3 linked regions of the Kluyveromyces lactis genome follow. The protein of the gene in region 1 purifies or fractionates together with the protein of each later gene. This does not show direct contact. Links are inferred from orthologs where the notes say so. Each region holds a gene or a part of one and is shown in the gene's direction. Other genes may lie near its edges.

Region 1 (3,344 bases):
ACTGACGATATTAAGAGTGTAGACAACCCAGAAGGTCTTCCATTCATCACCTTATGTTGGATCAATGATCATGAAATTTTAGCAGCTGGTTTCTCAAATCATCCTGTTTTGTACAGCGAAGGTTCAAGGGGTTGGGAAGTGTCCAAGATTTTGGATAGCCCAGTTAAGAGTGCTGGCAAATTGGTAGCATCAACTGGGGATGATGAAGAAGAAGGTGCCTTCGGTATGTCCGCATTGAGAAAGTTCAAGGAATTGGATTTGAAGGGTAAAGTTAGCCAGCAAGAAGAGAAATCTACCCATGTGAACTCAATTACAGAATTGGCTGCTTACAAGGAATCTAACAACAACGTCACTCAAGTTTCTTCTGTTGGTTTGGATGGTAAACTTGTTATATACAAGTTGTAGATATGGACGGTAAACGATTCATCTCTTCATCAAATAGTTGATCAGATCACCCCTATAACTCTTACGTTCAGAGTGAGAATACAATAAAAAAGAGTGGCCTTAGAAATGAAATATGTATATCTATGTTCATATATATTAAAATGTAATGTTACAACTCTGATTATGATTACAATAATCAGTCCGATTCCGCTCATAGATCTGAAGGTTTTTGTTGGTGATCCATCCGTCGCTGTATCACGAGTGAATATACGCTACCTTTGAGAAGCGTACTTACAAGAGATATTTTCACTTCAATTTCTCGCATCTCTTGTAAAATTGCTTCCGGTTTTGAGTCCTCATGGGTGTTGTTTAGATCTGAAAGTGTTTCGCTCAATTCCCTTAAGGACTCCGCTAGGAAGCGATATTTATCGAGCACACTTCGCTGCAATGGTGTCAGTTCCGAAGACATATTCAAAACACAAATAGTATGTTTCTTTGTAATTTGTACGTAAGCCCAAACCAGTAATGGTTACCTTTGTTGCCTTACCTTACATATTCAATTGGAACTCTATCCGGTAAACTTATGATAACGTTATTTCATTTTTGGTATTTTCCAATATTGACGAAAAACATAAACGATCGAATCCTGAAAGAATAACAACTCCATCCTTCAAAGTAAGGAATACAAAGCCAACGATTTGAATACAACACCAGCGCTCCTCTATTGCACGAACATCCACTCGAAAACTCTAGTTTCAGGTGTATACACTGAAACAGCGATAAATTTTATTCGAGTAAACGGTATTCTTTTCTTTATTCATTTGTGTTCAATTTCAATAATGTCACAGCAGTCCTCTCAGCAACAATCTTATACAATTTGGTCCCCGCATGATACGGTGAAGGATGTGGCAGATTCACTCGGAATCTCAAATACAAATGATGACGTGTTGAGGTCATTGGCGATGGATGTCGAGTACCGTATTTTGGAAATCGTGGAACAAGCGGTGAAATTTAAGAGACACAGTAAGCGATCTACTTTGACTACAAGCGATGTTGCGAAAGCTTTACGTGTCCTTAACGTCGAGCCATTGTATGGATTCGAGGAAGGATCAGCGAAAAATGAGCCCGTTAAGTTCAATAAGTTGGAGGGCGCTAATGGGCAGACGCTTTATTACCTAGATGATGAGGAGATCGATTTTGAAAAATTGATCAATACTCCATTACCAGAAGTTCCAAGATTACCAACGTTCACGGCGCATTGGCTAGCGGTAGAAGGAATTCAACCTGCCATTCCACAAAATCCAAATATCAATGAACTAAGGCTGAGTCAAGTTCCGTTGCAAAGAGGAGCAATAGTCTCACCATTAAACGAAACTTCTGTTCAAACCTCTTTACAAACAAATGTCAATGAAGAAAGACAGGCCACCGCAAATGGACCTATCTCGACACAAGTGAAACCAGGTGCAGCAAGTGAAGCTAAGCCATTGGTCAAACACGTTTTGTCTAAAGAATTACAGATATATTTCGAAAAAGTTGCTAGTGCACTTACATCGAAGGAAGAAGATATCAATTCACAACGGATGAGAGCAGCAGCTTTAACTTCGTTGAAGTCTGACACAGGACTACATCAGCTTGTTCCATATTTCATACAGTTTATCGCAGAGCAGATTACTCACCATTTAGAGGATTTGGAGTTGTTAACTACAATGTTGGAAATGATATATTCGTTATTGAGTAATCAATCAGTATTTTTGGATCCTTACATTCATTCTCTAATGCCTTCTATCTTAACACTACTATTAGCGAAGAGACTTGGTGGTAATGGCTCGAAAAACTCATCTGACGACAAGATTGTTGACCAGCAAAATAAAAAAGAGTTTTTAGAGAAGACTAATGCTGTCCGTGATTTTGCTAGCTCTTTACTCGATCACGTCTTGAAAAAGTTCCCAAAGGTTCACAAATCGTTGAAACCTCGTGTTACTAGAACTTTACTTAAGACATTCTTGGATATCAATAGATCATTCGGTACTTACTATGGTTGTGTACGTGGTGTTTCTGTCCTCGGTAACGAAACAATAAGATTCTTTTTAGGCAATTTACAAAACTGGTCGAAACTAGTTTTCGAGGAATATGACAGAAGCCAATCGGAAGACAGCAAGAGCGGAAAGAACCTAACTGACTTGGAGATAAAATTATTGTCAACAGTGATAGTGTCCACTTTAGAGAACTTGAAATCTGATCTTCCATCTTCATACAACCCTTCTGGTGATTTTAGTGAGGAGGACAAAACTCGTTTGAGAGAAAGATGCGGAATTACTGTCGGCAACGTAATACTGGAAAGAGACGATGCAAAGACTCTATACGATGCTATATTTTTTGGTGAGCTTTAGACATCAAATATGTAAATATTGTAACGAATATACGTATTAACTACGGCGCAAATAATCTCCTACGGACGTGCCTGGTTTTAACCTTTACTGGCGATGCCCTAACTGGTGTTTCTGAAACAACTGAAGGGGAAGCCACCAACACTGGGGTGTCCTTCTTTTCCTCTATAGGTTTGATCGGAGTTGCTGTAACATGTATATCCTGCTGTTTATCATCAAATCCGGTTTCTGAGATATAGCTAGCAAGTTTACGTTTACCAACTCGTTGGAAAGAGTTATTATGAGATTGAGAGATATTGATAGCTTTTCCGTTTACCAAAACAGTTCTAACAGTGCTGAACTCCTCCAATATTTGTTGTCTTTGCTTGACAATATCGTCTAAAGAAAGATCTTGCACAGACATTTGTCTTTTTTGAAGGCGATTCAGTTTCAAATCCGACGACGACCTTGACGCCATTTTGGGTTTCTTCTTTGTTGTTTCCTCCTCCAAAAACTCTACAAGGTTTGAGTTCGTTCTAGTTCTTAATAATGGAGGCATTTGTGGCGAAGAGCGCTTTCCATCGCTGACTGAAG
Region 2 (2,728 bases), on another chromosome or scaffold:
CCATATTTTAAGTTTGACATGAGCTGTGTCCATTTCACTAAAATAAACCCACATATCAGCTGGTATGCTGATCCCTTCATCGAGACAGTAATTAATAAACGAACACATCACAACGAAATGGAATTGTTCATGGTTTTTGATCACGAACAGAATATCTCTATAATCAGCCAACTTCCTTTCATTGCCTGGAATCAACTGCAATCTAAAATATTGAAACAGCACTTTCCAAAGAGACGTATCGAGCTTTGATATAAGCTTGGATAGATTTCGTAGTGCAATCTTATTATGACTTGGATCATTTTTATACAGCGGGATCTTACAAAGAAGAACGTAATCCACATACATCTTCTCATTGACCCATGTTGTACTTTGCAACCTCTCTCTGAGTGCTGAAAAATATTGCTCTGCGAGATCAATGCGATGAGTCTCTTCAATCAATAACGTAACAAGATCGTTAGTGATCTGAAAATCTTGCTCTAATGAAAGCTGGAAACCGCCATCCTTCAAATATCGCAGACATCGTATAGCCTGATTTATCAATGTATAATACTGACGAAGTTCCAATTCAGTTTCAATTTCCGTAACAACATCATGTGCAGTCAAAGTGTACTGTTTCGAGAGATGATATATCAAATCTAACTGCTGTGCTTTTCTGCTCAAGGACTTTTGATCAAAAGAGATCGGAACGTTTAGCAGCTCATCTTTGAAGGTGTCCATAGCTAGTATTGTGTATCATACATCAATCGGAAGCTATTTTCAGCATGGGCATATGCTGTTCTTGAGACACGTTAATTGACGTGTATTATTCTAGGGCAAAATGGTTATATGAAACTTTGAAATATATAAGGGAACCAGGATCCACGACAAAAAGAAGACAATAAGTAAACCACCGATGTACTCAGATCGACATGGTATAACTTCATCAAATAACAGGTTTGGAAATGACATGATTGAACTGTTTACAAGTCAAAGAAGTCTACTCTGGTGATTCATCATCATACTAATGAAAATTGATCATGTGACCTAGCTTCATCAGATTTCTTTCCCGCTTACAACTTTTTAACATAGGAAACCAAATATAAATCGTAGAACAAGTAGGAAAAACCAGTCAACACACAAAGATTGCAGTTTTAAGTCGTGTATTTCTGAGGCAGCCCTTTAAGTTATATCAATACTTGTATACTATCTGCTACTCCTACACGATCTATTTTTTTTGAAGACAGTTTTCTTCTTTGGTTTTCAAGACTTTCAATTGTTTGGTGAAATACTTCAAGAAGCCATCTTTCAGCGTTCGTTTATTATCAACTGTTCCGAGTATATCGTATCAAGTTAAACTCTACTACCGCAGCTTAGCTTAGAAGAAGATGTCAGAAGAAAATAGAATGAAACAGTTCCAAGAGGAAAACAAGATAGTATTTGATCCAAGTACACGATCAGTATGGGAAACTCAAGAAAAACAAGAACATGAATCTTTACCTGGAACAGATGCTAATGCGGAAGACGCAGATAAAGGTTCTGCCACTTCGGGAATCATACCAACCCTACAGAATATTGTGGCCACTGTGAATTTGGACTGTAGGTTGGATCTAAAGACGGTAGCATTACACGCTCGTAATGCAGAATACAATCCAAAGCGTTTTGCGGCTGTGATTATGCGTATCAGAGAACCGAAGACTACTGCATTGATTTTCGCATCTGGTAAGATGGTTGTTACTGGTGCTAAGAGTGAGGATGATTCCAAGTTGGCTAGTAGAAAATATGCCAGAATTATTCAAAAGATTGGGTTCAGTGCCAAGTTTACTGATTTCAAGATCCAAAATATTGTCGGCTCATGTGACGTGAAGTTCCCAATCCGTTTAGAAGGTTTAGCATTCAGTCACGGTACTTTCTCTTCATACGAACCAGAGTTATTCCCTGGTCTTATCTATAGAATGGTGAAACCTAAGATTGTGTTACTAATTTTCGTTTCCGGCAAGATTGTCTTAACTGGTGCCAAACAAAGAGAAGAAATCTATCAAGCGTTTGAAGCTATCTACCCTGTGTTGAGTGAATTCAGGAAGCTATGATGTTTTATTGGATGGTACTATAAAAATTCATTTTTTTATTTTATTAAACAATGCACTAATTCGATTCTCGGAGGTTTTGTCTCGTCTTCTGCAAGAAAACCCTTTGTTCCTTCTATCTTTCCTTCCTTATTGTCTTTTCATATCCATTCTGCTATAATAGAAGTCTTTATTATTGGCACCTTACTCTATGTATCATATAGTTCATACACAAATTTAACGACTAATAGCCATCGGTAAATGGTTTCCAGCTTGAGTTTGAAATGGATGAGGAATTCTGTCTTAGATAATGTTACAAAGTTAATTACATTTCAACAATATATTGAAGTTTAATGCTAGTATTTTTGGATCGTTAAGGGCAACATAAAACGATTAGCGGTATCCTTTATTTTCCAACTTGTTCTCCAACTGTTGTCTCAACAGGCGTTCTTGTTCTAGTTCTTTTTCGTATCTTAACTGAGTATCAGCTAAGATTCGTTTAAATTCTTGCTTCATCATTGAGAAAGATTGATGGTTAGAAGCAGATGTTGAGGATTTGATGTCACTGGATTCGGAAATTGCTTGTGAGAAGGATCTATCGATATCCATTGGAATTGATTGCATCTGTGAAGTGACTTTCGATTTCTCCTCGCGCTCCTTCAACTTACTATGATAGTGTAAGAGCT
Region 3 (3,840 bases), on another chromosome or scaffold:
ATCAAAGCTGTTTGTGTAATAGCTCAACAAGATCCACTGTTTTCCTTGGAGCATCTTGTGGACGTTTCCACTCTTCTGGGAACTCGTACCCACGCTTTTTCTTACGCAATTGTCTTGCGATGATATGTCTTTTATCGAGAGGAACATCAGCAAAGTCGTCTTTCAAATCTTTAGCCTCCTTGAGTAATTCTAGAAGAATGCTGTTTAAGTACTTTGCATTTTGAGCTGGTTCTTCATAGCGATCAGAAGACATTCTCAAAGTATCTGTAGTAGAATCATAACGTGTTTTTGCCAATAGACGCAGCTTATGCAGTTCCCTCTGTTCCAAGCCGAGATCCGATGTCTTCACAGATAAGACAACCTTACGAGAATTTGGATGTTCTTCACCAAGATATGTTGTATAACGATAAGCTACTGGATGAGTCTTTGTTGAAGGGCGTTTATATTCTTGACGATACTGCGCAAGTAAAGGAAGTTCAAATGCTGCCAAACGATTGTAGAAACGTTGTTCACGATGTTGATGAACTAAAATTTGTGATTGTGATGGCAAATCATCAAACTGATATTGATCCAAGTTGACATGCTCGTCTAGACCTCTTGCAATGCCCATTTCTGCCTCAACTTCTTCAGGTGTCTTATGATAGTACTCTTTGAAAAGTTTTGCTGGAATTCCAGACGCTTCGGCAGTGGGTAACAATGCTTTCAACTCTTCTTCGCAAGGCTTATATAGGGGCCCTAGTCTTGCCTTTCTTTCATTGTGCAACGTTATGATATCTTTACTATCCAAACCGATCCATTTCGATGGATCCTTGTAAAGTGTTGAGGAAATGGTCGCAACTTCTTTCGTAACGGTGGAGTTTAAACGTCTACTACAAAAGAATGCAGTACGTTGCACGCTAGCACCAGTAATCATTGTTGAGTGCCTAAGATGATTACGTTATCGCAGACCTTTTAACACTTTGAATATAATTGGCTTTCTCTGGTTCCGATTGGTGTTGTATCGAGGATTATTGGTATTTCTGGTAAACTTGGAAAATTTTTTGCAGAGAAAAGGCGGAGGTCACGTGATAATAAATTTTCTATGAAAATATCTGTCAAAGTAACGGAAGATAAACAACGAAGCAACAAACAGAACAAAGTCATTAATATTGCCAAAGCTGGAAAGCAGCCTATCTTTTAACGATAGTCAACAGTGGACAAAGGTGGAATCAAGTAGATTGCTAAACCAGATCTTCACTCAGTAAAACACCACTGGTATATTATGTCAAGGAATACGCGAAGAGGCAAAGGAATAAGAGAGCAGAAAAGAGATGACGCTGGGCTACATGAACCGTCGAATATTCTAAATTCGATGCTGAAGTCTTTAGACTTGACTTTTGAGAATGACATAGGTTTACTGAACGGTAAATACGTGAGGTCGGTTCCTGAGAAACCGGTTTTGCAAACAACTAAAGATCAACTAGAAAATCTAGGAAAATGTTTGGAGAAAATTGCAGCTAGTGATCAAGAGAATTTAGACCTAATCAAGGAAATGCGGGAAGATATAATAAGGCTCGAAGATGAGAAACAAAAAGAGAAGGAGGAAGCAGAAGCTGCAACAAACCTTGCAGCCCAGAACGCAGAAAATGATTCAATTAATAAAAAACTTGATGAATCTAGCGAAGTCGTATCGGATAAAAGATCAATTACAGAAGAGAACGAGGAGACAGACAAAAGGCCACAAGATACTATTGAAGAAGCGGAAGTTTTATCATCAGATGGTCACATATCAAAGAAAGCAAAGCTAGATATTGATAAAATGGAAAATGATCCTAACATTAGAAACCCCAAGTCTGAATTTGTAGTATCTCAAACGTTACCTGCTGCTGCAATGAGATTAGGTTTGTTTCAAGAGGAGGGTCTTGAAGCTACTGGTGAGGAATATTTGAAAAAGAAATACGGGGTAGTAAGCTATCCTACAAATGACTTAAAGGAACTTCTACCCGGTGAGCTGCCTGATATGGATTTCTCGAAACCTAAACCCACAAACCAAATTCAGTTTAATACTTTTCTCTCATCCATCGAGGCCTTTTACAGAGAATTCAATGATGACGATATCAAATTCCTTCAAAACAAATTCATCATGCCACAAAATTTGCAGTTTGTGAAATCTTATGACCCCGAAGTGACTCCATACACAATTCCTAAATTAGGACCACTATACACAGACGTGTGGTTGAAAGAAGACAATAATCAAAACATTGCGAATCTGACTCCTCCACCTATCAGTGATCCTATTAGTATCTTGCCTAAGAAATCAGGGAATGACATTTCGGATGGTGTACTTGACAATGAAGAAGTGTCTTGTGGCCCGCTAGTCTCAAGGCTTTTGAGTGCTATACTGAAGGATGATGATATTATAGCTCCTAAGGAAGAATTACCGACAAACCCCACACTCGATTCATCAGTATCAACACCAGTAAGTGAGCTTGAACATGTTACCCCATCATCCTCCTCGTCATACGGGATATTCAAACAACATGGAGCGATTGCAAACAATTCCAATATTGATTATGTTTCTTTTGAGGAACGCTTGAAAAGGGAATTAAAGTATGTTGGTATATATATGAATCTACCGAGAGAAGAAGGAAAAACACGTGAAGACCCGGATTGGTTGACCGGAAGGGAAGATGATGAGATTAGTGCTGAACTAAGAGAGCTGCAGAGTACACTACGTCAAGTGACTACTAAGAATACCAAAAGAAAGGCAATGCTTCTACCGTTATTGGAGAGGATGCTCGCATGGCAAGAGTACTGTACCATATTGGACAATCTTGATAAGCAAGTTGACCAAGCATATATCAAACGTATTCGTGCGCCGAAAAATAAGAAAAAGAGGCAATATACACCTGGGCCGGATTCATTAGCAACCGGATCAACATCTCAGGCAGCTATTCAGGCAGCTCACCAACAAGCCGCTAACTCGAGTCTAAAATCTTTGTTGGATAAGAGACAAAGATGGATAAGCAAGATTGGTCCTTTGTTTGACAAACCGGAAGTCATGAAGCGTATTCCAAGAGATAGCGTATTCAAGGATATAGACCAAGATGAGGAAGAAGAAGAAGCAGATGTGTTCAGCAATAATGCCAACGGGAAGGAAGAAGAATTAAATGAAACTCTACAAAATAAAGAAGAATAAATTGAAATAACTGACAGACTGGCGTCAAGCTGGTTTTTGGTGCTAGCTAGTGGAATTAGACCCTTTATTATATAGAATACGTGGAATAAATGTACCTGTCTATATTTGATGCAATTATGATTTATGATATTTACTTGTTACTTAGTTATTCATATTAGTCTGAATGTATGATAAAGATGGAACCGTTTTGACATTACCTAGAGCAACCATAGAGACAGGTTTATTGAGCAGCCTATAATTTGCCCACATTATAATGTCCTGCTTTGTGATTTTATTAACTTGTTCGAAAACCTCCTCTGGTGATAACCTTTTACCAGTCGTTACTACTTGTCTTCCAATATCTTCAGCTATTGCAGTCGATCCATCTAGAGAAAGAAGTAGAGAGGCTTTTAATCTTGCTTTCGCTCTGTTTACCTCATCGTCCGAGATACGTCCGGACCGAATTCTTTTCCACTCTTTTAAAATTTCGTCAATGATTAACTTTATATCGTGTTGTTGAGAATCAGCCACAATGTACATACCCCACAAACCGGAGTCGGCGTACGATGTTGAGAATGACATGTAGGAATTAGTTAAAGTACCATTTTCAGATGCAGCAACAGCAAGAGGTGAAGGAGAATTAGTACCTGTGCCCAAGGCCCTGTCCCAGTTACCAATGATTG

What was found. Proteins that work in one complex are often made in the same cells at the same time.
Region 2: the proteins of TAF6 (region 1) and SPT15 purify together in Saccharomyces cerevisiae (affinity purification with western blotting; 10 studies listed by BioGRID, with this or other methods). This does not show direct contact. The link is inferred for Kluyveromyces lactis from reciprocal best matches to the Saccharomyces cerevisiae genes TAF6 and SPT15.
Region 3: the proteins of TAF6 (region 1) and NGG1 purify together in Saccharomyces cerevisiae (affinity purification with mass spectrometry; 14 studies listed by BioGRID, with this or other methods). This does not show direct contact. The link is inferred for Kluyveromyces lactis from reciprocal best matches to the Saccharomyces cerevisiae genes TAF6 and NGG1.

Annotation. Positions count from the first base shown.
Region 1 is NC_006042.1:979,200-982,543, forward strand, and holds TAF6 (TATA-binding protein-associated factor TAF6), read left to right. Parts: upstream 1-1,223; coding exon 1,224-2,774; downstream 2,775-3,344. Other genes in the region: ARC40 (Arc40p), read left to right, coding at 1-405; DAD3 (Dad3p), read right to left, coding at 596-853; SLD3 (Sld3p), read right to left, coding at 2,815-3,344.
Region 2 is NC_006041.1:892,609-895,336, reverse strand, and holds SPT15 (TATA-binding protein), read left to right. Parts: upstream 1-1,364; coding exon 1,365-2,066; downstream 2,067-2,728. Other genes in the region: cohesin-loading factor complex subunit SCC4, read right to left, coding at 1-717; PEA2 (Pea2p), read right to left, coding at 2,436-2,728. UniProt on the Saccharomyces cerevisiae protein: General transcription factor that functions at the core of the DNA-binding general transcription factor complex TFIID. Binding of TFIID to a promoter (with or without TATA element) is the initial step in preinitiation complex (PIC) formation.
Region 3 is NC_006040.1:1,523,489-1,527,328, forward strand, and holds NGG1 (histone acetyltransferase NGG1), read left to right. Parts: upstream 1-1,261; coding exon 1,262-3,178; downstream 3,179-3,840. Other genes in the region: RSM24 (mitochondrial 37S ribosomal protein mS35), read right to left, coding at 2-913; MAS1 (mitochondrial processing peptidase), read right to left, coding at 3,320-3,840. UniProt on the Saccharomyces cerevisiae protein: Component of the transcription coactivator SAGA complex. SAGA acts as a general cofactor required for essentially all RNA polymerase II transcription. At the promoters, SAGA is required for transcription pre-initiation complex (PIC) recruitment.